Stegostoma tigrinum: one gene and its partners. The protein of the gene in region 4 purifies or fractionates together with the protein of the main gene of each other region. This does not show direct contact. Links are inferred from orthologs where the notes say so. Each region holds a gene or a part of one and is shown on either strand. Other genes may lie near its edges.

What was found.
Region 1: the proteins of aurora kinase C-like (region 4) and ppp6c purify together in Homo sapiens (affinity purification with mass spectrometry; 4 studies listed by BioGRID and IntAct, with this or other methods). This does not show direct contact. The link is inferred for Stegostoma tigrinum from reciprocal best matches to the Homo sapiens genes AURKA and PPP6C.
Region 2: the proteins of aurora kinase C-like (region 4) and dicer1 purify together in Homo sapiens (affinity purification with mass spectrometry; 4 studies listed by BioGRID and IntAct, counting the BioPlex papers as one, with this or other methods). This does not show direct contact. The link is inferred for Stegostoma tigrinum from reciprocal best matches to the Homo sapiens genes AURKA and DICER1.
Region 3: the proteins of aurora kinase C-like (region 4) and arfgap1 purify together in Homo sapiens (affinity purification with mass spectrometry; 3 studies listed by BioGRID and IntAct, counting the BioPlex papers as one, with this or other methods). This does not show direct contact. The link is inferred for Stegostoma tigrinum from reciprocal best matches to the Homo sapiens genes AURKA and ARFGAP1.

Annotation. Positions count from the first base shown.
Region 1 is NC_081382.1:26,604,278-26,611,704, reverse strand, and holds the start of ppp6c (serine/threonine-protein phosphatase 6 catalytic subunit), read left to right. Parts: upstream 1-4,425; 5' UTR 4,426-4,486; coding exon 4,487-4,561; intron 4,562-7,427. Other genes in the region: rabepk (rab9 effector protein with kelch motifs), read right to left, coding at 2,307-2,359.
Region 2 is NC_081363.1:6,496,099-6,503,888, forward strand, and holds the start of dicer1 (endoribonuclease Dicer), read left to right. Parts: upstream 1-4,788; 5' UTR 4,789-5,117; intron 5,118-7,790. UniProt on the Homo sapiens protein: Double-stranded RNA (dsRNA) endoribonuclease playing a central role in short dsRNA-mediated post-transcriptional gene silencing.
Region 3 is NC_081372.1:31,570,532-31,577,555, forward strand, and holds the start of arfgap1 (ADP-ribosylation factor GTPase-activating protein 1), read left to right. Parts: upstream 1-4,022; 5' UTR 4,023-4,193; intron 4,194-7,024. UniProt on the Homo sapiens protein: GTPase-activating protein (GAP) for the ADP ribosylation factor 1 (ARF1). Involved in membrane trafficking and /or vesicle transport.
Region 4 is NC_081372.1:47,185,456-47,192,296, reverse strand, and holds the start of aurora kinase C-like, read left to right. Parts: upstream 1-3,818; 5' UTR 3,819-3,931; intron 3,932-5,387; 5' UTR 5,388-5,402; coding exon 5,403-5,444; intron 5,445-6,841. UniProt on the Homo sapiens protein: Mitotic serine/threonine kinase that contributes to the regulation of cell cycle progression.

The sequences.
Region 1 (7,427 bases), on a different chromosome or scaffold from region 4:
TACATTTTCCCCATCTACCATCTTGCTCTTTAGAGAAGTATAAAAAGCCTTTTCTTTAATCCCATTTGCTAAGATTGTTACCCCAGCTCCTTGTTCATGTTCTTTCCTGCTTTCTATATATTCCTCAAGGCCTCTGTCTGTCCTCATTTTCCTAAGCTTTACCTATGCTTCCTTTTTCTTTCTAAATTCACAATTTCTTGTCACCTAAGGTTGCCAAATCTTGCTATCCCTATCCTTCACTTTCACAGGAGCATGCTGGTCCTGAATCAATTAGTATTTAAAAGATTTCCTCAAATTGTTACGTCCTTTCTACATTCCTCAGTTCCTACCTAATATTGCTGTAGTTAGCTTTCCCCCAATTTAGTACTTCTATTAGGTCAGACTTCAGTCTTCTCTTTTCAAGTGAAAAGACACCAAGTCTTTCCTTGGACATTTACAGAAGAGAGGTTATTCAGCCCATTGTGTCCGCACCAGTCAAAGATTGGACAGCATGAATAACATTTTCCAGTTCTTGGCCCATAGTCATGGAGGATATGGCAATGTAAATCACAGGGGATCGCCAATTTATCAACATCCGATGCACAAATGTTCGTACTTACAAACGCAATCCCATACGAGGTGTATGAATATTAATTTTAAAGATCCAACATTTGGCCTTGTACATAAGAAAGGCTGTTTTATATTATCAAGCTTCACTTACTCACTTGTGTAAAAATTGACTAGTGAATGGATTCAAGAATGGAGCCCATTCACAATTTGGTGACTGCCTGTAATAGCTAAATACTGTTTAAATGTTACAAAAGTTTCTGACTTAGATAATGACTCCCAGACTCCCCCCACCCTCTTAGTGGAAAAAAAACTCAACTGTCCTGTTAGCTTTCTACCTCTTGCATTAAATCTACACCCATTGGTTAATGGCTCCTCAACTAAAGGAAAAAATGCATTCCTATCCACCCTATCTATGCCCTTCACAATCTTAAACATTTCCATCAGGTCGTCCCCTTCTCACCTTTTGCTGCCTCGAGGAAAACAATCCCAGCCTATGCAGTCTTTCTGTACAGCTCAGACCTCCAGCCCAAAAAGCATCCAGGTAAATTTCCACGCACCCTCTTCATACAGTTATATTCTTCCAATACTTTGGCAACTAGACCTGCCCTCAGTATTCTAATTGTGGCTTCAAAAGCATTTATCTAGTTCTAGCATAACTTCCTCGGTCTTTGAATAAAATCCTTGGCCTCTAATAAAAGCAAGTTATTTGATATGCCTTCTTAACTACCTTATTTACCCTACCTTGCCCTACAATGTTAAGGGATCTGAAGATATGCACCAAGGTTCCTCTGATCTTCACTACTTTTCGGAGTCCAACTATTTATAAAATCCCTTGCCTTGAAATCCCTCTCCAAGTGCATTAGCTTTACAAGGTTAAAATCCAACCTATATTGCCCCGCCAACTGATTGGTCCTTTGAAAACTCCATGCAGTTATGCCACTCTTTCCCACCATACCAACTTCGGCACTATGTATGAAATTCTTGATCATACCCCTACATTTAAGTCCAAATTATAACTTACATCACAAACAGCAACAGTTCCAACAATAAGCCATGCAGAACTCCTGTGTAAACAGGTTTTCTGCTATAATTTCCGTAAATATTTCTGCACATTCCCTAGTGTCTTTTTTAAGTGACATGGCAAGCAGTCCTGTACAGATTTACACATCGTCTTTCCACAACTTGTTATTCATGTATAGTTGTAACATCAAAAGAAAGGAACACAATCGCCTAGTGGTGCTATCACTCAACTGTTAATCCAGAGAGCCAGGTAATTTTCTAGGTATACCGGTTTGACTGCCACCATGGCAGTTATGGAGTAGAGCTGGATGAACACTGCAGGCCAACCAGCATCATAGGAACTTTCCTGCTCCTATGAGGCTGCTTGGCCTGCTGTGTTCATCCAGCTCTACATCTTGTTATTACAGATTCTCCAGCATCTGCAATTCCTACTACCTCATGGCAGTCATGGAATTTGAATCCAATAGAAGTCTGGAAATAGGAGTCTAATGATGATCATGAAGTGGCTCAATTGTTGAAAAAAAAATCTCATCTGGTTCACTGCCATCCTTAGCTGGTCTGGCCTACATGTGGTACAGACCTACTACAACAGGAATGGGAAATAAATGATGACCATGTGAATAAATAAAACAAAAGAAAAAATAGGGACATTATCTCTGTGTTAAGGTATCACTTTACAGTTACAATTCCTGTCAATATAGTGTCGGGTTAAATATACACATGCTTTGACAGCCTACCATGTTGCTATTTGGGGTGTTTCCCCTGGCTCCAAGACAGTCAGCAATTCCATAGCCTTTCGAAAAATCTGGAATAAAACTGTCAGACATTGAAGATTTAAACTTTTATGTTATGTTAATGTATAAAAATTACTTGCATTTATTTAATTATAGTAAATGAAATCAACCCATAGCACAGCATATTATAGTCTCAATGCGACCATAAGGTAATTTACAACTTTTACAACATCTGAAGTCATATGGCAGCAGGTTATAGTCCAACAAGTTCATTGAAAATCATAAACTTTTGGAGCATTGCTCCTTCGCCAGATGAAGATTTCATCAGCCTTCACCTGATGAAGGAGCAGCACTCTGAAGGCTTGTGATTTTAAACAAACCTGTTGGCCTATACCTGGTATCATGTGACTTCAGGTTTTGTCCACCTCCACATCTTTATAAAATCTGACATTGGCATTACGACTTAGATTGGTGCATGTAAATATCGTAAACTACCTGTCAATGGCTGTCTGCAATTCTGAATCTGTTTTCTCATTCAAGCTTTCCTACCAATTTTTGAGGTGGAGATGAAAAATCAAAAATGCTAAAAGTCTTAGTCTGATATCCCTAGACTATGCATATTAGCAGTTGAGTGATAACTACTGTATTCTTCACTTCAGTTCCACAAAACACCATTCAAACTGTTGTGTTGTAGTGGATCTCAAAATTAACAATTTATCTCATGACATTCTCTTGCATTCTCCCTGTAATCCTGCACATTCTTCCTTTAGACGCCTTTATTAAACCTGCCTTCAATGTACATTCCATATCCTGACCACTCAATGGGATCAAAAACATTTTCCCCCGCATATCACCATTGATTCTTTTGCCAATTTCTCAAAGGCTGTGTCCTTTTGTTCTTCAACCTTTCACATAAATGGCCACTGTTTTTCCCTTCTCCATTCTGACCTGATCCTTCATGACTTTTGAAAGCATCTAACAAAGCTCCTCTCTGCCTTCCAGAAAAAACATAATGACAGCACTAATCTTTCTAAGCAATTGAAGTTCCTCATCCTGGAGATTATTCTCGTGAATCTTTTCCAGATTCTGTACAGTGCAATGCATACAGCTGGATGAAATGTAATTGCCAGTGCATTTTTAAGCAAGTTTAACAAAATCTGCTTGGTTCTTCCTTCCTAACTATAAAGCCTAAGAAACTGTGCACTTTAACAGCCACTCTTTCAAACTGTCCTACCTTCACTGCTTTATGCACACTCACATCTCTCTGCGCTGTGCATCCTTTAGAACTGTAATTTTTATTTCGTATTGTCTGGTTTTCTGCCCTTTATCTACCAATTCTATCATCATGTCCATGTTCTCTTGAAGGTCGACACTGTCTTCCTCAGAGATCACAATCAATGCCTCCAGGTTCTTATCATGCGCACAGATTGTGATTATGCCCCGATTTGCTAAGTCAGTATCATAACTGAACAATCACTGCTACTTTTTTTTGTCTTTTCGTCATCAGTTTGCACGCAGTCACGATTGATTTAATCTCGTGGGCTTTTTAAAATAAAACAATGAGGAGCAAATTAAATATTGGACACGTGCCCCGTTTTACAATCTTTTACAGCAGCCTCTTCATGTTCTTCTGATTTAAATGGAACATTCTGAGAATATTTGAACAAACGCCGATCTTCTCCAAACAGGGAAGTTTGATGTGAAATTTAGTGTCACTCCAGCGATTTAAAGGCCAGCACTGAAAGATGCCACTTTCCAATTCCCCTTCCCTCCAAATTCCATTTACTGATTTTCAGCACTTCGATGACTAACCGTTAGAGCATCTGTTACTCGCTATAATTACAGCAATATAAGCCTATGCCTCAAATGCTTCATACCTGTCGTTCTTCCCAATTTTTTTCTCGGGTGTTGCTAAAGGGAATCTACAACCCTTGAACTTTCAACTTTACCACCGAGCCGGCCAATGGAGAGGGCGGTGCGTAAAAACTGTGGGATTAAACAAAGAGTTTCGGTGTGTCCTGGGGAATGGGGTCAATCTTCAAACAATACAAAGTGGTCATTAACGATCGAACGCGTTTCGGGGTAAGGTGAAGGTTTGAAGCCGGTTTCTTTAGCCAGCGGCCGGCGCTTTAGATACCGGAAGCGCGTCATTGGCCTGGGGCTTGCTCAGTCCGTGTCTCAAAATGGCGCCTCTGGACCTGGATAAGTATGTGGAGATAGCTCGGCAGTGCAAATATCTTCCAGAAAATGACCTAAAGGTAACGTGTTACAGTTTCCGCTCTCCCCCACCCCCGAACTTTATTTTGTATGTTTTTTTGTGTCTGTCTATTGCTAAATCTATTTGACGCCTCAGTGTCGATTATGTTTGTAGCGACGCAATGGGACCTGTCAAGACTACAGCTTTAGGCTGTACCCTTACGTTTTTGGGGCCTTACCTCTTGTGTCCTAAGTTCTGTGGCATTTGTTTATATTTGGGTTTTGACATAAATTTAATGTGTGGCAGGTAGACTTCCTTAGCGCTATTATCTGTGGATCTTTACATTGACAGCGTAATGTCGCCGCAATCAAAACATCACAAGTGTTAACCCCACCACTCCCGGAGAATGGACCTCTAATAGGTGAGAAGCCTCCCCTGAATGCTGAACTGGGACGCTTGAAGTGAAACGTAGTTTGCTTCAACGAAGGATTGGATCATTTCGTAAAACAATTCACAAATTTTGTTCATTTGAGGAACTTGACTTGTTGCTGACTAATCACGGTTAATTCTGATCCAAAAGTAAGTTTTTGTTTCAATTAGGTTGAGGTAGAAGATTTCACTCCAGATTAAAACTATAGCTTCTTTTTGGGTTCAATGTTGACTGTACCAGGAGTGGAAACTTTCGGAGTTGAGTTGTGGAGAGGTTTAGTTATTAATGCTAAACTGTTATGCAGATTGTTCAAATGCTAATGAGTATTGACTTAAATGGTTCAAGTGAGAGAGTAATTAGTTGTGATGCTAGAGAGGCTAAAGATTGATAAAGAAATGTTACTTTCAACGAGATGCATCTGAGAATACTGAGAGAAACAAGCATTCAAATTGTGAAGGTACTGGCTATAACCTTTTAATGTACAGAAATGCTACCGGAAGACTGGGTGATTGCAAATCACACATCTGCTTAAAACAGGATGGAGTTTTTGATGAGATAATAGAGGCATTTAGTAACAGTAATAGGCTCCTGTAGTGTATTTGGAGGTGTTGGGGGTGTTTAGATACTGTTGAATATGCCAGAGCAGGTTGCAGTAGTGATTAAGTCTTACAAGATCCTGCTCAGTATTAATATGTGGATGGAGAAGAAAAACAGAAGCTCTTTATTTAAGATAAAATATTGATTCAGCTTCTACTGCACACTTTTGTTCCCATTTGGTGTGGCACGGTGACCCGCTGCTGCCTCAGCGCCAGAGACCTAGTTAAGTTCCAGCCTTGGGCGACTGTCTAATGTGGAGTTTACACATGTCTGCTTGGGGTTTCCTCTGGATGCTCTGCTTTCCTTCTCAGTAGAAAAATGTGCAGTTTAGGTGGAATGGCTATGCTGGTTCATCTTCTTGTCTCAGTTTAGATAAATGCTGCCTGAACAGCCTGCATTAAGTCTATAACTCTAATAATCGCAAACTAGCATGTTGCCCTTTTTACCTGGACATCAGCTCAAGTAGGCCATTAAATATATTCCTCAGCCACAAATTGTAGATGATTAACATGCATGGACCGTTTTGGTGACATGTTTGAGAATGTGATTATAATGAATATTCCTTGATGTTAAATGTAGTATTGTTCAGTAGAAATTGCTGAATGAGCGGTAACGGCAATGTAATTTAATTGGGCCAATGATTTTTAGTCTGGTTAACATTCTTGTAATACAAATGCTGGATTCGGTGAGTGTCTTTACTCATCTTACTGAAGCGTAATTAGTTAAAATACTTAATGATCAAAGAAACACTCATACATTCAGTTTTTTTTTTAGTTTGCCATTTTCCCAGAAGATGCATCAAGTTTGAAATATATTATACTGTGCAAATACCATATGAAATTAAAGGCCAATTACACTTTGTTACTGTTCGTATTTATCATTCAGGAGTGATAAATTATTAGTTATGCCTTTAGTCAATTCTGGATTGCCACGTTCTTTTCCTCACTTTTTCTGCCTTCTATCTGTCACCTCTGATTATTCATGCTTCAGTCATTTATTCACTGTGTCCAAATATCTCATTCAAACCCCCAATTTCTCAAATCTATTTGCATAAATGTAATTCCTCATTTTAGAGCCGTTTAATACATTTTTCTTTCCCCAAAGTTTTCATGTTCTTTGTGAAATTAAACAGAGTACTCCCAGTCGAGATCAAGGTAGTGTTTTATGTAGGTTTAGCATAATTCCGTGAATTTTGTACTCTGTCTTTTACTTAAAGCCCAGGATTGCATCTCCTGCTTTGTTAACTTGCCCATTGGCCTCCAAATATCTATATACACATGTTCCTAGGTTTGTCTATTCTGGTAACACTTTATAAATTATACTATTAAGCTTTCGTTGTCTTTTGTTCGTTCTTCTAATACTGTTAGGTTCGTTTTTCGGAGACCCGCACAAACTTGATGCAATAGCAAGACACTGACCTGGCTACAAAAACACAATCCTTTATTATTAAACAAGAACAAGCTGTGGAGGATCGCTGTACTCAACCTGGCACAGAGTGCTGAGTTCCGTTAGCAATTCTCCCCGAACAGTGGACAGTCCCCGCTTTTTATACTCTATTTTGGCTGATACAAAAAACATTTACTACATTTGGAACATATAGCGAACAGAATACAGCATTGATTGTTCACGAAGTGACTGGTAACGATTTCAAGCCGCCAAAGTGTCTGGCTTGAACAGAGGTCACTGACCTGTCCACTTCAGTAGAAACAGAAGTTTCATACCTTTACAGAAGTTTCACCCTTTTACAGAATTACAAATCATACCTTTACAAACATTAGCCACCCAATCCTATTTTGGCTGGAAGTTTAGGACAGTTTCCACATACCCCTGTGTGAGAAGACAAGGAGCACAAAAATTAATGAGATGTTATCCCATTAACATCTCAATACTACCTCTCATT
Region 2 (7,790 bases), on a different chromosome or scaffold from region 4:
CCCCTCAGACCCATGGTGCCGCTACCTGGAATACCAACCTACAGATTAGCCAAGGAACTACACCAAAGACTAAAACACCTAGTAGAAGACTCCCGCCACTCCATTCGCTCCACCCAAGAATTCCTGAACACCATCAAAGACACCAAGGTAGAAGAGGATGAAGTAATGGTCTCCTTTGATGTAACAGTCCTGTTCACATCCATCAACATCAACCAGGCCAAAATAACACTGACTACACTATTAGAAGAACCAAAGACACATACACCAGACACCACCAACCTCATCAGCAAGGACAACACCATCGAGCTAATGGACCACCCACTTCACTTTCAATAACAAAACCTACAGACAAACCAACGGTACACCCGTGGGATCTCCGATATCAGGGTTCTTAGCAGGGGCAGTAATGCAGAGACTCGAACAAACAGCTCTGCCAATCATCCAACCCAAACTTTGGGTCTGCTATGTGGATGACACCTTTGTCATCAATAAACAAAACAAATTAGAAGAAACATTCAAGACCATCAATAATACCCTTACTGGCATAACATTCACAAAAGAGGAGGAAAACAACAACAAACTGCCATTCCTAGATGTCACAGTAGAGCGAACAGCCAATGGGGAACTTCAAACCAGCGTCTACGGGAAAATAACACATACGGACCAAATACTGAACTACAGGAGCAACCATCCCAACACCCACAAACGAAGCTGCATTAGAACATTATTCCAACGAGCCACCACACACTGCAGCACAGAGGAACTACGAAGAGCAGAAGAAAATCACCTATACAGCGTATTCAAAAAGAATGGGAGCACAAAAGCTGACGTTTTGGGCCTAGACCCTTCTTCAGAGAGGGGGATGGTAAGAGTGAACTAGAATAAATAGGGAGAGAGGGGGAGGCGGATCAAAGATGGAGAGAAAAGAAGATAGGTAGAGAGGAGAGTGTAGGTGAGGAGGTAGGGAGGGGATAGGTCAGTCCAGGGAAGACGGACAGGTCGAAGAGGCGGGATGAGGTGGTAGGTAGGAAATGGAGGTGCGGCTTGAGGTGGGAGGAAGGGATGGGTGAGAGGAAGAACAGGTTAGTGAAGCGGAGACAGGCTGGGCTGGTTTTGGGATGCAGTGGGGAATGGGAAGAACTCCCCCCACTGCATCACAAAGCCAGCCCAGCTCGTCCCCTCCCCCCGCCCCCCACTGCATCCCAAAACCAGCCCAGCCTGTCTCCACTTCCCTAACCTGTTCTTCCTCTCACCCATCCCTTCCTCCCACCTCAAGCCGCACTTCCATTTCCTACCTACCACCTCATCCCGCCTCCTCGACCTGTCCATCTTCCCTGGACTGACCTATCCCCTCCCTACCTCCTCACCTATACTCTCCTATCTACCTGTCTTCTTTTCTCTCCATCTTCGGTCCACCTCCCCCTCTCTCCCCATCCCCCTCTCTGAAGAACGGTCTAGGCCCGAAACATTAGCTTTTGTGCTCCTGAGATGATGCTTGGCCTGCTGTGTTCATCCAGCTCCACACACAGTTCAACTCTTGCCCCATTTGAAATCAGCTCACTGTCAATTGATTTTTCTTACTCTGAATTGTTGCATGCCATTCTCCAACACTATCTTTCAACTGTATGGTACAAAAGACACTGTCTACTAACTGTTTCCCCCCCCACTGATATTTGATCCATCTGCCAGAGACAGATCATTTATTTTTTTCTATAGTTTTGAATTAACTGTTTCTTTCAATTACTGATCTTGAGAGCTTGATAGCCTCTCCCTTGATTATTCACACAACTGTGCTTAAATTTTCTTAGCTTTGACCAAGGCCTTCAGGTTTATTACCAAAATATTTCTGTTCTGGAATTCTTACATTGATGTAAGCTATTTCCTAACTGTTCTGGACTAACTCCTTGTTCCAGGAGAAATTGTTACATCTAAACCCAGCAAGGTCACATTTGAATGGAAATCAAAGGCTTTCCAATCTGTCGGTATTTCCTAAGAGAAAAACTATCGAATCTTCAAAATCAAAAACAAGGGAATATCTTTTAATATTTGCTCTTTAATTGTCTTGCTGTCAAAATACAAATAAGTCCATGTTATTGCTCTAAGAGAATGTTTCACATCTGCTCTGGCACATACCGGTTTTAAATCATCACTCCAGAATCATCCACTAGTTAATTACCCCATTTATCACAGAGGTGAACAATCCATATGCAGCTGGTTAAAGTCCAAACTCTCAAATAAACTGTACAAATATATAAGTATGCCCAATCTATTTTTATATGCAAACAGTGATATAGTACACAATTACATGTTTGTATGCAGAGCCATCACAACTTTTACAGATGAAAGCGAAATGAAAAGACAAATCATATTACAAAATTAAACTAATGTCTAAGATTCCTAACAGATACAGTGGTACTGTACTATGTATTCTAATTTAGCACAGTGCTCCAGAATGGTGAAACAGATTTCCTTCAAATTTCCTTATTCAAAGTTCAGCCCTGCTTGACTGAGATTTTTTTGAAGAGGTGACCAAGAAGATAGATGAAAACAGCGCAGTAGATGTTGTCTGCATGGATTTTAGCAAGACCTTCTACGAGGTTCTGCGAGATAGACTGGTGAGTGAGGTGAATTCACATGGGATTCCAGAGACACCTAGCCAATTGGATACAAAAATAGCTTGATGGTAGAAGACAGAGTGGTGGTAGGGCTTGTTCAGATAGAAGACCAATAGTGTACGGCAATGATTAGCGCTGAGTCCATTGCTGTTCGTCATTGCTATCAAATGATTTGGATGAGAATATAAGAGGCATGGTTTATAAGTTTGTGGATGACACCAAAATTGGTGGTTTAGTGAACAGTAAAGGTGATTATCGAAGAGTATGATGGGATTTTGATCCAGTGGGCCAAGGAATAGTAGATGGAGTTGAAAGCAAGCAAATTCAAGGTATTGCATTTTGGAAAGACAAACCAGGTCAGGACTTACACTGTTAATGTTAGGGCCCTGGAGGGCACTGCCAAGTGGAGAAACATAGGGGTGCAGGTACGTAGTTCCTTGAAAGTGGTGTCACAGGTAGTCAGGGTGGCAAAGAAAGCATTTGGGACAGTTGCCTTCATTGGTCAGAGCTTTGAGTACAGGAGTTGAGATGTCATGTTCCAGCTGTATACAACATTAGTAAGGCCCCATTTGGAGTACTGTGTATAATTTTGGTAACCCTACTATAGGAAGGATACAAAGAAAGATTTAGAAGGATATTCCTAACATTGGAAGGTTTGAGTTATAAGTAGAGGCTGGGACTTTTACTTAAGCATAGGAAGCTGAGCGGTGACCTTACAGAGATTTATAAAATCACGAGGGTCGTAGATGAGTTGAATTGCCAAGTTCTTTTCCCCAGGATAGGGGAGTTGAGAACTAAGGTGCATAGGTTTAATGTGAGAGGGGAAAGATTTAAAAGAATCATGAGGTGCAACTTTTACAGGTAGAGTGTGGTATATACATGGAACAAGCTGCCAGAGGAAGTGGTAGAGGTAAATATAATTACAACATTAAAAAGATATTTGGCGGATAGGAAAGGCTTAGAGGGATATGGGCCAAATTATGGCAAACGTTCAGTTTAGGAAACCTGGTCGGCATAGGCGAGTTGGGCCGAAGGGTCTGTTTCCGTGCTGTATGACTCTATATAAAAATAATAGAGTGGAAGCTTCAAAGATACAAGTATTGATCAACGTTCTCCTGTTAGCTCGCTGGGCATCTTGACAGTGTTGCGCGCCAGGGGCAGGTTAGTAGAGAGCTTTCTATTCCAGATGGTTAGATAAAGGCTATTGACGATATTTCGCAGCTTGTCGCCTGTCGCGCGCACAGTCTCAAGTGTCGACTGCCTGCCGCCGCTGAGTGATTGAGGTCGGGGCTGTGTTGGTTCTGGGACTGGAGGCGAGGCAGGCTGGACAGTTTCCAAACACAAACACGGAGAATGCTAGAGAAACGCAGCAGGTCTGGCAACATCTGTGGAGGCGGAAACACATCTAACGTTTCGAGACCGGTACTTTGAGTAAGAAACGTCAACTCAAAACATCATCTAAAAGCGAAAAACTACGATGCTACAAACCTGAAACACACAGGGGCAATGTCGGAGAAACTCAGGAGGTCTGAAAAATAGGCATAACCGGGTGGCTGGAAACTTTAACTGTTTCTCGCTCCACATTTGGTGCCAACTCTGCTGAGTTTCTCCAGCATATCCGGTGCTTGTTAACAAAGTGTGAAGCTGGTTGAACACAGCAGGCCAAGCAGCATCTCAGGAGCACAAAAGCTGACGTTTCGGGCCTAGACCCATTTTGTGCTCCTGAGATGCTGCTTGGCCTGCTGTGTTCATCCAGCTCTACACTTTGTTATCTTGGATTCTCCAGCATCTGCAGTTCCCATTATCTCATATCCTGTGTTTGTTTCGGATTTCCAGCGTCCGCGGTATTTTGCTTTTTAACATTCCACCGGGGCACGGCTGACACAAAGCTGGGTGTCACGGGGATTGTTTGTTTGTTGTTGCTGCTGCTGCTGCTGCAAACAGGAATGGTAGGGAGGCGACATCCAAGATGACAGCTTGTGAATACGGTCTATCTGTCCGCAAGCAGTTTGTTGACACCGCCAGCCGCAGCGATTTCCGGCCTACCCGACCATAACCAGCAACCCGATTGGATGTCAACTTCGCCCGGTTCCCGCAGACCAATCGGAATTCTTGGTGCATCAGGGTGGGCCGAAAGAAGTGGGTGGGGGTGCGAGGGAAAAAAGGGAGGCGAATGCGCGCGCAGCCTGCGGCCCATCCAGGTGGAGAGGCGAAGGCGTGGAAGGAAAAACACATTTAAAAAAAAACCATTTATAAAGAGGCCGGGGGTGGTGTATCGAACAAGAAAAGGCTGTGAAATGGGAAGGGAGGGAGGAATTAAATAAGAAAGCAAGTTACCTGAAGGGAGAAAAGGCGGGGTGCCGGCCAGAAACCGGGCAAGTAGCAGCGACAGCAGGGGAGGGGGAGGGGAACTGAAAACCGTCGCCATCCTCCCGAACTCTACCTCCTAACCTCTCCCTCCCCTCAACAACAAACACACTCAATGCATCGTTACAGCCGGGGGTAAGCTTCACTTCACGCTTACGTGTGTGTGTGTATACATATTATGTATATATTTATACTTTTAAAAATGCGTGCATAAATATCTAATCAGTGTAAATAACTGGTACTTGCTAATCCGTCGTACGGCTCTGCCTCCCTCCTCCTTCTCCTCCTCCGGCCGCGTGGCTGCGCGAGCGCCGCCAACGGACTCCCTTTACTAGAACGTTCCGCCAGCTTCTCACGCGCGCTGTGGCCGTTAACGGACGCCGTCTCTCACCTCCTGTTTGAATTTTTATTTCTTTTGTACCAACGGTGGTAAAGAGTTGGATTTTTAAAAATGTACTTTTTTTTTCTTAAATAACTCTTAACCCGGCCCACTGCCACCCAAGCCGGGGATCTTTACCCGACCCATGGATGCGACCTTAGCGATCAGAGGCCCAACAGATTTTATTGTTCGCATCCTCCCACCGTCCCCCCTTTTAAAAAAAATGAGAGAGACACGGTGGGGGTGGGGGGAACGGGACGGTGATTTGGATATTAAAGGTCTGGGCCGCTTAGCCTCGGAGTGGGAGTAGGTGGCTAAGGTGCGAGGCCTACTGTTCGGGCTTCTTTTCCCAGCCTCTCGGGTCTAATTGCGATTGGTAGGTGTTGCCTCTACATAGACACATCAGTTTCTCCCCCCGCAACCCCAACCCAGGGGGTGCCGCAATTCTTGGGGATCGTGTCTTAGTGCTCATTATTGGAGGCCGTGTTAAAGGACTTGTGATCCCGCTGGCTCTATCCGTTGTCGGCGGAGGAGAACGGGGAACGGGGCAGCCGCTGCTGTCTCGGAGTTAGAGGCAATAGAAACGCTCCCAGGAAACCAGTCTGCTTTGCACCTCCTGGTTCTTCTCAACCAGATCTTTAATATCTTTGGTTAGAGACCAAAAAAAAGTGCAGATGCTGGAATCTAAAGTAGTCAAGCAGGAGGTTGGAAGAACGCCGGAAGCCAGGCAGCATCTGCAGGAAAAGAGCAGTCATCATTTCGAGTATTCTAGCTGAAAGTTAACTGCTCCTTTCCTCCAAATGCTGCCTGACTTGTTGTGTTCTTCCAGCCTTTATCTTTAATACCTTTCACCTGCTGGGGGTTTTCTTAGTTCACATCCATTTTTTTTGCCTACTGTGCACTGGTACTCATGTTATGCCCTAGTTTCATTGATTTTTGTCCAGTTTAACAGCCTTTGAGGGTTTGACTTATTGGTTAACATTGTTAGTTTCTTCTGAGCAAAAACAGCTTGCATTTATATAACACCTTATATTTAAACATCCTAAAGAGCTTTCTTTATTTAAAAAATTATGTTAAAGGAAGTTGAGCAGAATCATGGAATGTATTAGAACAGATGACTAAAAATTCATTCAAATAAGTAGATTTTAAGGTGTTTATTCTAGGACATAGAAATTTAGCTTTCAGGAATTAGACAGTCGTAGGTATAGATGGCTAACCATGGTTGGGCAAAGGAAATCAGTAGTATGCGAAAGTTCAGAAAATTCCCCATTACATTTTTGGCTGTGGTCAAATCTTCTATACGTAGGTTTAAGTCGAACTAGCCTCACCTCATCTGATGTCCACATGTTGATGCCAAGTAGAGCTGTTAGTAAAAATTAAGTTGTCTTTTTTTAATTCATTAACGGGATGAGGGCATTGCTGGCTAGGCAGCATTAATTGCCCAGAGGGCAGTTAAGAGTCAACCACATTGCTGTGGGCCTGGAGTCACATGTCGGACAGACCAGACAAGGATGGCAGTTTCATTCCCTAGAGGACAGTTGTGAACCAGATGGGTTTTTCCCAATAATTGACAATGGATTCATGGTCATTGTTAGACCCCTAATTCCAGATATTTATCAAATACTAATTCCACCGTCTGCCATAGCGGGATTTGAACCCAGGTCCCCAGGAATACAACGTGGGAAAGTGAGAGATGATGCACTTTGGTAAGAAGAACAGAAGCATGGACTATTTTCTAAATGGGGAGAAAATTCAGAAGTCTGAAGTGCGAAGAGGCTTGGGAGTTGTAGTCCAGGATTCTCTCACCTTAAACTTAAAGGTTGAGTCAGTAGTTAGGAAAGCAAATGCGACTTCTGCGTTTATTTTGAGGAGACTCGAGTATAAAAGCAAGGTTGTACACCTGAGGCTCTGGTCAGGCTGCTTTTCGAGTATTGTGTGGAGTTTTGGGCCCCATATCTCAAGAAGGATGCGCTGGCCCTGGAGCAGGTTCAGAAGAAGTTCAGGAGAATGATTCCAGCAATGAAAGCCCTGATATGAGGAACATTTGAGGACGCTGGATCTATACGTGATGGAGTTTAGAAGAGTGAGGGAATTGAAACTTACAGAATGATGAATGGCCTGGACGGAGTGGATATTGGGAAGAAGCCTCTGGGGGTCCTCTCGGGTCCTGTTGGTAGGAGAGACAGGACCTGAGAGCACAGCCTTAGAGTAAAGGGAAGATCTTTTAGATCGGAGACAAGGAGAAACATCTTCAGCCAGAGATAGATAATCTGTGGAGTTCATTGCCACGGTGATCAAAGGTTATGGGGAGAAAGCGAGAGAATGGGGTTGAGAAACTAAGAGCCATGATTGATTGGCAGAGCAGACTCAGTGGACTGAATAACCTAATTTCTGCTCCTGTGTCTTATTTTATTAAATTTTTATGTTTG
Region 3 (7,024 bases), about 16 Mb from region 4:
TCCATCCTAGGTAAAGCATTCTGCAAGACTGGCACCTTAAACATTCACTCTTTACACCAGTGTGCACTCTTTCCACTGTTGCATTTAGTCTTCATCTACTCCACTAGGTACAAAAACAGACGTGCTGGAAAAGCTCAGCAGGTCTGGCAGCATCTGTGACGAAAAAAATTCACAGTTGACGTTTCGGGTCCAGTGACCCTTCCTCAGGACTCAGTGCTCTATTAGGTTATGTTCAAAGCGGTCAGTGCCTTTGAAGATGTTTCTTCAGTTTGAGAGTTTTGGGGCTAACAATTCCCATGTGTCAGTGGGGATGGTGCACTTTTTCAGTGAGGCCTTCAGGCTGTCCTTGTACTGTTTCCTCTATGCTCCTAGTGACTGCTTACCGTTGTGGAGCTCAGTGTACAGCACTCATTTAGGGGGACTTGGGTTGGATATGTGGACAATGTGGCCTGTTTGTCACAGATTGGGTAACCTGTGCCATCACACTGTGGATATTGGCCTAGGAGAGGATGCTCACTGCCCATCCTGCCAGTGGATTTGCAAGATTTTGCAAAGGCAGCATTGGTGATAATTCTCAGGCTCTTAGTTTCATCTTGTCCTTCAATCATCTTTACACTTCCTTCCTCTCACTCAAGTTTTGGTAGAGCTGCCAGTCCAGGAACCCTTATGTTTGCAATTTAGGAGATTCTGGATCTCTTGATCATTCATTAGTCTTAGTGTTTCCTGTTCAACAGGCCGAGTGGCCTCAAGCAGATGTGACCATGGTGGCTTTTAGGGTGGACCAGGCACTGTGGGCACCCTGTGAATCTGTTGATCACCTCCAGTTTGGATGTGAGGCGCTGCCTGGGTACATCTTTATTCTCAAGGTCTTTGAGACCAGCAATATTGAGTACTCTGTGGTAGAGATTTTTTTGTTGCCTTTGATGGTTTGGGGCCAGGTTGGTGGAGATGGTAAGGGGGTTAGTCAGTGGTTTGTCCAGCAGTCATTAGCTCTGGTCTTGGTGCAGGTGATGCAGACACCTTTGCAGCCTCTTGCTCAAATTATGATATGGTCTATCAAGTGTCAGTGTTTGGAGTGTGGGGTGGGTTGCCAAGAAATCTTGGAATCTTGAAGTCATTCCTCTGGTGGTACAGGGTATTTGTTATGACAATGTCACATTCCATGCATTTCATCAGGAATAGGACTCTGTTGGAGTTTATTTTCCTTATGTTTTCCTTATCAAACATGCCTCTCCAAAGGTTGGTATCACGCCTGATTCTGGCATTGAAGTTCCCACGGAGAATCAACCTGTCTTCCTTGGGGATGCAGGACAGCAATTGGTGAAGACTGGTGTGGAATGCCTCATTTGTCTCACATATGCAGTGAACTATAGCACTTTGCAAAACTGTTACCTCAGCTACCTACAGAAACAAGGAACATATAACCTGCTAGTTCTCCCCAAGCCACTCACCATTGTGGGGTGGAGTATATATATATATATTGCTGTTTCTTTCCTGTTATTAAAATTCTGGAACTCCTTTGTTAACAGTACGAAGGATATTTTAACACTATACACACTGCAGTGGTTTAAGAAGGAAGCTGACCAACACCTTTTCAATAATAGTTAAGTTAAATTTGCCTTACCTTGCTCCCACTCTTCTGCACCATCACCAGCAAAACTTCTCAATGGATATTTTGTACGTTATATTGGGTGCCCACTGTGCAATAATGACAGAGAGTTATACTGCCAGAGACGCCTTTGTTCCAATGAGATATCACGCTAAAGCCCCATGTACTTGTTGAGGTGCACGTGAATGATTCTACAGCAGTAATTTACAAATTGAGCATTACTTCCTTGCTAATTTTTCAAAATTTCTGTTTCTTTTTTTTTTCCTCATCGGATGTGGGCTTCGCTTGCTGGCCAGCATTTACTGCCCATACCTAGCTGCCCTTGAGAGGTGGTAGTAAGCTGCCTTCTTGAACCACTGCAGTACACGCGCTGTAGTTTAATTCACAATGCCCTTAGGGAGAGAATTCCAGGATTTTAATCCAGCCATAGTGGAACAGTGATATTCTTCCAATTCAGGACGGTGAGTGGTTTAGAGGGGAACTTGAAGCCATAGTTGCCATGTACCCGCTACCTCACTCCTCCTCGAAAATGATAATGAATTTGGGAGGTCCTGCCTAAGCCAGGTATAAGGTCAAAAGTTCAACAACAATAAAGTGGCTGAGGAAGAAGGGAAAATCTTGTTTCTAAGAAACAGAGTTTGTAACTTCACCTACCATGTTAGTAAGCAGTTAACCATATTTAATGGATAGAATATCTGGTCTTCCAAAACTGTCAAATTTCAAAATTAGGACAAAGGTGAAGTTTAGCTTGGTGGGAACGATAGATGGATGGAAGTGGCATTAAATGTTGGTCTCAATTTTAGTGATCTTGTAGCCAAGATGGGTGATAAATTTCTGGAACTCTGGTCAATTTCCATTCCTTCACAAACTCTGCTTTGCAAGGGCGATACCTCAGACTACCTTGTTATTTTTAAGAACTGTTCTGGATTTTTACATGATGTGCTCATTAAACTAGCTACAGAAAGTTAGAAGTGGTAATTGACAGTGGAGATACTATTTTCAACTGCTTCAATCAACATCTGGGCAGAAGGAGAACAATTTATATGGTACTATCACATTCTTGCAGGCTGTAAATTATTGTGATTTCTAAAATTTCAATTTTTAAAAATGTTTATGTTACTTTTCCTTTCTCTTTAAACAGGTGTTTTTTCACTCCCTTTTTTCTATACCTGATTTAACTTTATTCCAGCCATTTTAGTCACACTTCTTCCCTTCTATGCTCTTTCCTTCTGAATTCTTAAATCATTTTGGACTTTTGCCACAAACTCTGCATGCCAGTCAGTGACTTCATCCCTCTCTGGATATTATTTCAATCAAACATGCCTAACTTTGATTTCCTATTTGACCGAAATGAATTTCCAATCTCATATATATTCCATCACCAAAATCAGCTACTTTTACCTCCAATAACATAATTTGTCTCCACCCTTGTTTCAGGTTATCTGCTGCTGAGATATTCACCTGGTACCTCTAGGCTTGATTGCGTCAATGATTTGCTGGTTGGTTTTCCACTTTGCACTCTTTGTAAACCAATTCTCACAAATCAACATTGACTGAAAAGTCTGGCAATTCATCAATATCAAGGTGCTTATACTTCCTTGCAAATCTTTCCATGGCCTTGCCCAGACCTGTAACCTCCTCTAGCCTTACAACCCTTCAAGATCTCTGTACTCCAGCTAATCATCCTAATATGGCTCTCTTGCACACTTCTGATTATGTACGCCTAAGCTTTATTGTGAAATCTCTCACTAAATCTCTCTTCTCTACATTCCTAATCTTATTAAAACCCACCACTTTGTTTAAATTTTCAGTCACTTGATTAAAAATGCATTTTGCAGCTTGGAAGTCAAATTTTGCTTGGAAACGCTCCCCGCCAACATCTCAAGATAGCCCAATGTAGGTGTTAAATAGAAATGCCATCTCGTATTTTTGTTAAGCAGGCAGACCAAGTCCAATATTTCATGTTGCCCTCATTGCGCTGTTATTAGTGCGCACCTACAGCAAGTTACTGTATTCATATTTTTCAACATAGCTGAAAAAGTAAAATGCTGTACACCTGGCTACAACAAGGTATGAACCATTTTTAACCCTTATATTCTGGCCACAGATGCTGAATGGGTGTGCTGGATATCTTTTGTTTTCAAGCAATTTTTTGTTTTCAAGATTTACAATTTCTAGCTCTTTATTCATATGAGCCAAAATGAATTGGTTCATTAAGCTACCATGGAAGTATCCTAGGAGAGGGGGATTGATGGCAAAAGTGGTGAAGTTGGGACAAGGAGGAGCCAATGGAGGTATTAATACACCGGTATGCATTATGCGATATGTTATGCTCTCATCATTGATACCTCATACACACCTCCACCCAGTTTCACACATCATCACTCAACACTGTGCAGAGGCCACTTTACCCAAAAGCCTCTTGTAAATGCAACGTCGTCAAAGATGGCGGCCGCCTGTTCCTGAGGTGGTTGGTGTCGGACTGACTAGCGGGTTTCACTCGCTGTTCTTTTTCGCACCGAGGCTGAACGCGCCTTTCTTTTGAAGGGGACCTAGTGTCAACCGAAGCGGCGACCTTGGAGAGGTGAGTAGGCGGCTGCGAGCCTGTCCGTCCGTCGCCGGGATGAAAAAGCCGGTAAATGAGTCAGTCAACCTAAGGGTGATGGCGGCTGTGTCCCGCCCTCCTCCCCGGCAGCTGATTGGCCGGAGGGAGGTTAGCGGCCTCTGGGATTGGTCCAGACCTCTTGTCAGTCAGTGAGTCGTGATGAGTAAGTTAAGGTGTGTGTTTGCCGGCTGAGGCCTCGTTGTTGTTCCTGTCCCCGTCCCCTTGTCTGCAAATCATCCTGAAGGGGAGCTAGTGGTTGGACAGCTGCAGCGGTGTACAGCTATGTTGGCCATTCAGTGATTTCATTTCATTATAAACAGTGGACTCCAGTCGTTTGGTTTGTGCCTAACCAAACCTTCACCTCATAGAGACTGTTGCTTCCTCCCTCTCTCTTTCATGCACTCACTTCTATAAACCCAACGCTCATATTGTTCTGCCACGTTAGCGCCGGAGCAGAGACTATTTGAAAAAAGAGTAATATTAGTTGAATGCTGAAGAGTGCATTGCAGCTTCATGGACATTTATACATCTGTCTAGCCGGATCTTTAGATTACGATGATGTAGGAGATTCGTTCTGATGAAATGTCGATCCGTCATTTGTTTCTTTACAGATTGTGAATGGACTATGTATTTTCCCCGTTTTGTGTTGTAAAATTTAGAAATGATTCCCAGAGTGAACCCCTTACAATTAAACAGAAACTTTGTGATTTACTACCTATTATTAACATGCCAGTAGTGTACTAGTTCTTACACTGTGGTGTAATATAGGTTCATTTTAGTATTTGTACTTTCTAGGTATACGTCTAATTCAGTTTTCACTGGTATAGCTATCTTGGTGTTCCTCGTTCTGTCCAAGTTTTAACTTTTTGACCAGTCGTCTTTTGATACACACACATTTTCTTTTCATAAAAACCAAAAGAACTGTAGATGCTGTAAATCAGAGGCTGGTAGGTAGGAGATGGGGGTGGGGCTTGAGGTGGGAGGAAGTACAGGTTATGGAGGTGGGGATGAGCTGGCTTGGTTTTGGAATGCGGTTGCAGGAGTGGAGATTTTGGGCTGCAGGGTTCCCAAGCGAAAAATGAGGTGCTGCTCCTCCAACCTTTGGGTGGCATTGTTGTGGCACTGCAGGAGGCCCTGGATGGACGTGTCATCCAAGGAGTCAGAGGGAGAGTTGAAAGGCGCGTGACTGGGAGGTACAGTACTTCTCTACCTCCATCTTCTGTTTCTTACCCTCAAGCCAATTTTGTATCCAATTGGCTAGCTTCCCCCGGATTCCACATGATCTAACCTTGCTAACCAGCCTGCCATGTGGAACCTTGTCAAGGTCCATGTAAATGACATCTACTACTCTGTTTTTATCAATCTTCTTTGTCTTTCATCAAAAAATCACAATCACGTTAGTGAGACTTAATTTCCCCCACACAAAGCTATGTTTACTATCCCTAATCAGCCCTTGCCTTTGCAAATACATATAAATCCAGACCCCTAGAATCCCCTCCAACGACATACCCACCACTGATGTCATGCTCACCAGTCTATACTTCCCTGGCTTTTCCTTACCATCTTGCTTAAATAGTGGCACCACATTGGCCAATGTTCAGGCATCTCAGCCATGGCTGTTGATGATATAGATATCTCAGCAAGTGGACGAGCAATCTTTTCCCTAGCTCCCGCAGAGTTCTGGGATTCACTTGATTGGATCCCTGTGATTAATCCACCTTTGTGTTTTAAGACATCCATCACCACTACCTTTTATAATATGTGCAGTTCACAAGATATTCCTATTTATTTTCCCAAGGTCTCTGACTTCCATGTCCATCTCCACGGGACATCTCAAAACATCTATAAGAATAATAGGGTTGTAATGGTAGGAGATTCCAAGTTTCCAAACGTAAACTTGGACAGCCATAGTGTTAAGGTCTTCGATAGAAAGGACTTTAAATGTGTACTAGAAAAAAATACCTATTTAGTATGTGGATGTACCCTACTAGAGAAGGAACAAAATTTAACCTTCACTTGGGGAAACAAAGCAGGACAAGTGACTGGGGTATCAGTGGGGGAGCACTTTGGGCCAGTGATTAATGATTCTATTATTTTTAAAATAGTTATCAAAAAGGATAGATCTGATCTAAAAGTTAAAATTCCAAATTGGTGTAAGGCAAATTTTGATGGTATGAGGCAAGAACTTTCAAAAGTTGATTAGGAGAGACGATTCGCAGGTAAAAGACAGTTGGAAAGTGGAAGGTGTTGGTGAAGTGTTCGAGCTCCTCTGGGGAGCAAGAGGTGGCGCCGACCTTCCACCCCAACCTCAAGTTCACCTGGGCCATCTCCAATACATCCCTCACCTTCCTGGACACCTCAGTCTCCATCTCTGGTAACCAGCTAGAAACTGATGTCCATTTCAAACCCACTGACACCCACAGCTACCTAGAATACAGCTCCTCCCACCCACCCTCTTGCAAAAATTCCAAACCCTATTCCCAATTCCTCCACCTCCGCCGCATCTGCTCCCAGGATGAGGCATTCCACTCCCACACATCCCAGATGTCCACGTTCTTCAAGGACCGCAACTTCCCCCTGCAGTGGTCGAGAATGACTTGACCGTGTCTCCCGCATTTCCCCCAACACATTCCTCACACCCTGCCCCCGCCACAACCGCCCAAAGAGGATCCCCTTCGTTCTCACACACCACCCCACCAACCTCCAGATACAACGTATCATCCTCCGACACTTCCGCCATCTACAATCCGACCCCACCACCCAAGACATTTTTCCATCCCCACTCTTGTCTGCCTTCCGGAGAGACCACT
Region 4 (6,841 bases):
AAGATGGGCAATGCCCATATTCCATGGAAGATTTAAAATAAAATGTTAAATAAATGATAGTTTTATGCATTGTGTTCAAAGGTAAGAATATGGACATGAGTGTTAAGTGTAGACATAATGAGGATATATGTTCAGCTAAGACAGTCTCTTGTGTGACAGGTGCACATATTTTTCTAGCTCACAGCAGAGGGTTTCTTCCATTACCTTGTTACACCTGCAGCCCTTCATTCTCTGCAGGCTTTGTGAAGATGTCACTTTGCAAGACAAATTATTGAAACATCATGAAACAACAAAACTTAGAAACCTTTCATATTCTATATTGATGTCACCCACATTACCAAATGTTTTTGATGGTAGTGAGTACATGCACCTCAGATTAATTGCTGGTGTTTTGAGAGGTCTCATAAGCAATGGATGGGTTGGTTGAGACCACACTCAGCATCTTCTTCGCAGCTTTGGTCTTTTTACATAAAAAAAACTTCCCATACAGGGAGTGCAGCAAAGGTTCACCAGACTGATTCCTGGAATGGCATCTTTGTCTTTTGAGGACAGACTGAACTAACTAGACCTGTATCCACTGGAGCTTGGAAGAATGAGTGAGGATCACATTGAAATGTATAACATTCTGACAGGGCTGGACAGACTGGATGTAGAGATGAGGTTTCCCTGACTGGGGGTGAGAAAAAAGATTGGTGGGGGATGAGGGGAGGTTGGAGGGTCATGTCCAACCAAGGCATTCACAATTCCAGCATATAGGGCAAACCATATCGGACTGAGATGGTCAGAAATCTTTTCACTCAGAGGATAGCAAATGTACAGAATTCTCTATCATTTTCTGATGAAGGGTCTAGGTCCAAAACGTCAGCTTTTGTGCTCCTAAGATGCTGCTTGGCCTGTTGTGTTTATCCAGCTCAACACTCTGTTATCAAGCAATGTAAATGCCATTTCCTTTGGGTTTCTGCAATCCTCCTGCTGCAGTTTCAGTAGACCATGGGAAGGTAAACTAACCCCATAGTCAAAGGGAGATGCATTCTCTGATGCTGATATTCACACATTAGGTTCCAATCCCCCACACTCAGGTACACTGAAGTGCAGCTAAAACACTGACAAAATCCACTGGTATCAGGCATTATACCAACCTGTACTTAGCAACATATCAGACCCTATATGACCCGAACGCCCTTGCAAGGAAAGATCATAAATGCGACAAATTGTGCAAAGGATGAGATGAACACATAGAGGCTTCAGTTTTTAACAAAGTGTAGAGCTGGATGAACACAGCAGGCCGGGCAGCATCTTAGGAGCAGAAAATCTGACGTTTCAGGCCTAGAGCCTTCGTCAGAAATGGGGGAAGGGGAGAGGGTTCTGAAATACCCTGGATAGAGGAGAAGATAGGTGGAGAGGAGACAGACAAGTTAAAGAGGCGGGGATGGAGCCAGTAGAGGTGAGCGTAGGTAGGGAGGGGAGTGGTCAGTCCGTGGAGGATGGACAGGTCAAGGGGGCGTGATGAGGTTAGTAGGTAGGAAATGGGGGTGCGGCTTGAGGTGGGAGGAGGGGATAGGTGAGAGGAAGAACAGGTTAGGGAGGTGGGGACGGGCTGGGCTGGTTTTGGGATGCAGTGGGGGGAGAGGAGATTTTGAAGCTAGTGAAATCCACATTGATACCATTGGGCTGCAGGGTTCCCAAGCGGAATATGAGTTGCTGTTCCTGCAACCTTCGGGTGGCATTGTTGCGGTACTGCAGGAGGCCCAGGATAGACATGTCGTCTAAGGAATGGGAGGGGTAGGTGAAATGGTTCATGACTGGGAGGTGCAATTGTTTATCATGAACCGAGCATAGGTGTTCTGCAAAGCAGTCCCCAAGCCTCTGCTTGGTTTCCCTGATGTAGAGGAGGCCACAATGGGTACAGTATACCACATTGGCAGATGTGTGGGTGAACATCTGCTTGATGTGGAAAGTCTTCTTGGGGCCTGGGATGTGGGTGAGGGAAGAGGTGTGGGGGCAAGCGTAGCACTTCCTGCAGTTGCAGGGGAAAGTGCCGGATGTGGTGGGGGGGTTGGAGGGGAGTGTGGAGCGGTTAAGGGAGTCCCGGAGAGAGTGGTCCTTCTGGAAAGCAGACAAGGGTGGAGAGGGAAAAATGTCATTGGCAGTGGGGTCAGATTGTAGATGGCGGAAGTGTCGGAGGATGATGCGTTGGATCAGGAGGTTGGTGGGGTGGTACGTCAGGACGAGGGGGATTCTCTTTTGGTGGTTATCACGGGAACGGGGTGTGAGGGATGAGGTGCGGGAAATGCGGGAGACATGGTCGAGGGTGTTCTCGACCACTGCGTGGGGGGAAGTTGCAGTCCTTGAAAAACGAGGACATCTGAGATGTACGGCAGTGGAATGCCTCATCCTGGGAACAAATGTGGTGGAGACGAATGAATTGGGAATAGAGGATGGTATTTTTACAGGAAGGTGGTTGGGAGGAGGTGTATTCTAGGTAGCTGTGGGAGTCGGTGGGCTTGAAATGGATATCAGTTTCTAGGTGGTTGCCGGAGATGGAGACAGAGAGGTCCAGGAAGTTGAGGGAGATGTTACAGATAGTCCAGGTCAAGTTGAGGTTGGGTGGAAGGTGTTGATGAAGTGGATGAACTGTTCGAGCTCCTCGTGGGAGCATGAGGCAGTGCCGATACAGTCATTAATGTTACGGAGGAAGAGGTGGGGTCTAGGGCCAGCGTAGTTTTTTAATTACTTTTATAAATTGTCTCAGTTTCTTATGAAAGCCTGTAAAATCCTTCACAAAGGCAAAGATAACAAAATAAAGTCATGTGCAATATCTCTGCTGGTTTATTGTTATATTTAAGAGACCAGGCACACAACTAATAATCAGGTTTCCTTGTTTCACAATGGGAGCATATATCCAGTAACAATTATAAATGGCAATGATTTGAATAGATAAGGAGAAGATCATCACATTCCACTGCAGGAGAGAAACAAAATTAAAGCAAAGCTGTTATGTATCAGTTCTTTACATTCAGATTCTATGGTAATGTGATTATGATACAGAATTAAGAACCTTGTGTTACACATAATGCACAGCCAAAAATAAACTAAATACTCAGCAGTCATTTGTAAAGAGTTCAGGTTCATGACCCTTTATCAGAAGGAATACAGTAAAATAATTTATATCCCACCAGGGAGGGTCTAGGCCCGAAACGTCAGCTTTGCTGCTCCTAAGATGCTGCTTAGCCTGCTGTGTTCATCCAGCTCCACACCTTGTTATTTCGGATTCTCCAGCATCTGCAGTTCCTACTATCTCAGGGCTAAATTAATAACTTCCTGGTTCTTCCTTTCAAATTTAATGTTAAAAATCATAAGCCTTGCTAAAAATTCGAAAAAAAACGTTTTTACTGAGTACTGAATAAAGGATAGATATTTAGGAAAAAGAAAGGGGCCGTTTAAGATATTCTGTTTTCATGCAGGAAAGGAGGATGGCCTACCAGAAACTGTGGGTGAAGCAAAATCCATAACAGTTTAAAAAATGTGACTGATAACGATAAATATTTAAAATATGGTGGAAAAGAACACACGATAGAACTAAGTAAACATCAGCTTTACAGGAAACTATAGGCAAAAAGGCCTAGATGACCTCCTTGCGTAACATTCAAATCACAAATTCCTGACACCTCTACGTCTGCGCATGTGTCAATTTCCAGGCTGGGAGAAAGGGAACGCCGGCACATCACGTGACAGTACGCATGCACGCGATGACGTAACCGTCGGCCTGCGGCAGTCCGTTGAAGAACCGCCAATAGCGAGCGAGCGACGGGCAGGCGTCGTCCAATTGAAGCGCGGGCTCTGTTAAATGGGCTTAAAGTGCGGTGGATTTGAATTTAAACGGTAGAAGGAGCAGAGTGAAACGGGCGGTGAGATAGGCAGAGAGTGGGAGGTAGGTTGATTGTAAAGGAGGGGGTAGTCTGGGGGCCTGGGGAGAGGACTTTGGTTCGTCGCCTCTTCAGTGCTGGGGCTGGAAAAGGCCTCCCACCTCGCTATAGTCTGTGTTCTTAACCGTGATCTGGTTACCCTTTCCTGTGCCTTTGGGGCCCTGGTGTAGCCATCTTCAGTTTTGCTCCAATCTCCCTGAATCTGAGGGAGAGATATTCCCCATTGCCCTTGCCCCTTGCCCTTCAATCATGCCCTAACTTGTGTGTCAAGGTCAAGCTGGGGGATGAGAAAGTGGGGGCTCAGCCCTGTCTTCCCTGAATGTCGAGACGCCATATCACTCCTCCGCTGGGATTTTCCACGTAGCATTCGATTGTGGTGTATTTGTGTAATTTACTTAGCCTTTCAAATTCTTAATGGCTTAATATTAACTCGGCCAGTGATCAATACTGGCTACTCTGTTAGAAGTAGCAGCAGCACTTCGGAGATATTAATGGGTGCCGAGAAAATTTCACTTGCTTTGCTCTGAGCTGAAGTTTATATTGCTGGTACATCGTGGGACGCAATCTCTTTTTTTTCTTAGGCTGGATTAATTTAATTGCGTGGCAAATTCGTTTCTTTGAGTTTTAGCGTTCATCTAGTATTACTCATGGCTCTGCATGATAACTTCAATCAGTTACAAGTTTTGTCTCTTTTTACTCTTGTGTGGAGATTGGCGTGAGAAACGTATGGGATCAAAATCAGAAACTGCTTGGAAAAACTCTACAGGCCTGATAGCGTCTGTGGAGAAAAAGCAGAGTAACTCTTAGTATGCAGTGACTGCGCAGACTTTTGTCGTTAGTGGTGCTGATGCTGGCCTATCGCCAAAAAACATGTCTGCTACAGCACAGACCAGCTGGATTGGTGGGGTTAGGAGGATAATTTACAGCATGAAACGCGGCTGCTGTTGAGACTTTAACTTGTGTGAGGCGGTCCTGTTTTGTGGGATTTTCTTTTTCAGTAGTAGTTTTTTTTATTCAAGCCCTTGCAATAAAATGCAGCAGGAATCACTATACACTTCTGTTTTCTAATTTGTGCTATCTCTATCCACCAAGTACAAGTCTATGGATGTGACGAATGAGAAAACTTACAGGGAGGAAATGGCTTTGTTAACTGCTAATATGTGCATAAATAGATCTAAATTTTAATTCTGTTAAGCACACAGGGTTTTGTTTCAGGCTATTTCATTGGGACAGATACCCAGTGGGTTTTGACCTAGAAAATACTTCTCTAGGAAACTGTATGTGTTTGGTTGCTGCTACCCAGAGCTGCTTCTACTGGATTCAGGAAATCATATTTTGTGACTTGTGCTTTGATAGCTTAAGTTCTGCAGTGGAAATTCAAGCCTTCAGCTACCTGACCTCCAGAGAGAATATTACAAATAGCCTAATACAGTATAATAACTTTTTAATTTCCACTTGCAGGATTTTAGATTACAAATGGAAAAAAGGGTTGCAAGCCAAGGAGGACATGCTGGAAAGGTATTTTTGCTGCCAATTGAAATATTAATTAATGGTTATGATGGAAATAAACTGTTGAATAACTTAGTAGTCAGTCATTGATGTACAGCAGGGAAATAGATCTTTGGTCCAACTTATGCATGCCAAATAAACCTCGTCCCATTTTGCCAGCATGTGGCCCATGAACCTCAATCCTTCCTGTTCATAATTCATCCAGATATCTTTGTAAATGTTGCAATTATACCAGCCTCCTCCAGTTCCTCTGGCAGTTTGTTCCAGACATGACCACCTTCTGTGGAACAAGCTGTCTTTTTAAAATCTTTTCCCTTTTGCCTTAACCTATGTCCTCTAGTTTTGGTCTCCCTTACCCTGGGACCTTGACTATTCACCCTATCCATACCCCTTGTGACCTTTGAAACCGCTATTACGTTAGCCATTGGCCTCTGACACACCAGGGGAAAACAGCCCCAACCTGTAACTCAAACCCTCCAACCCTGGCAACATCCTTTAGTCTGTTCTGAAGCTTTTCAAGTTCATCAACATTTCCTATAATCAAGGAGGTCAGAGTTGAATATAGTATTTCAAAAGTAGCCACAACCTGTCCCAACTCCTATACTCAGTGATAATAAAATGTGAGGCTGGGTGAACACAGCAGGCCAAGCAGCATCTCAGGAGCACAAAAGCTGACGTTTCGGGCCTAGACCCTTCAGAGCTCTCTGATGAAGGGTCTAGGCCCGAAACGTCAGCTTTTGTGCTCCTGAGATGCTGCTTGGCCTGCTGTGTTCACCCAGCCTCACATTTTATTATCTTGGAATCTCCAGCATCTGCAGTTCCCATTATCTCCTATACTCAGTGTACTGACTTTTGAAGACAAGCATACAAATTTCATCTTTGCTAGCCTGTCTACCTGTGATTCCATCTTCAAGGAACCATAAATCTACTCTAAGGTTTTTTGACAACACTCCCTAGGATCTTGCCATTAACTGTGTAAGCCCTGTCCTGTTTAGCTCCAACAAAATGTCGGACCTTCTATTTATATAGATTAAACTCCATCTGCTGCTCCTTGGCCCATCCTTACAACGTTCTGTTGTATTCTGATGCAACCTTCACTGTCCACTTCACCACCAATTTTTGGTGTCACCTGCAAACTTACTTAGCATGCCTCCTATATTCACACCCAAGTCACTTGTATAAATGACAAAAAGCAGTGGATCCAGCACCTGATTGGATATTGTTCAGTAATACAAAACCTTAATGCTTCTGAAAAATTGCCTTCTCTAAGGCATTACATCTAAGAATGAGTGATAATGGGAACTGCAGATGCTGGAGAATCCAAGATAATAAAATGTGAGGCTGGATCAACACAGCAGGCCCAGCAGCATCTCAGGAGCACAAAAGCTGACGTTTCGGGCCTAGAC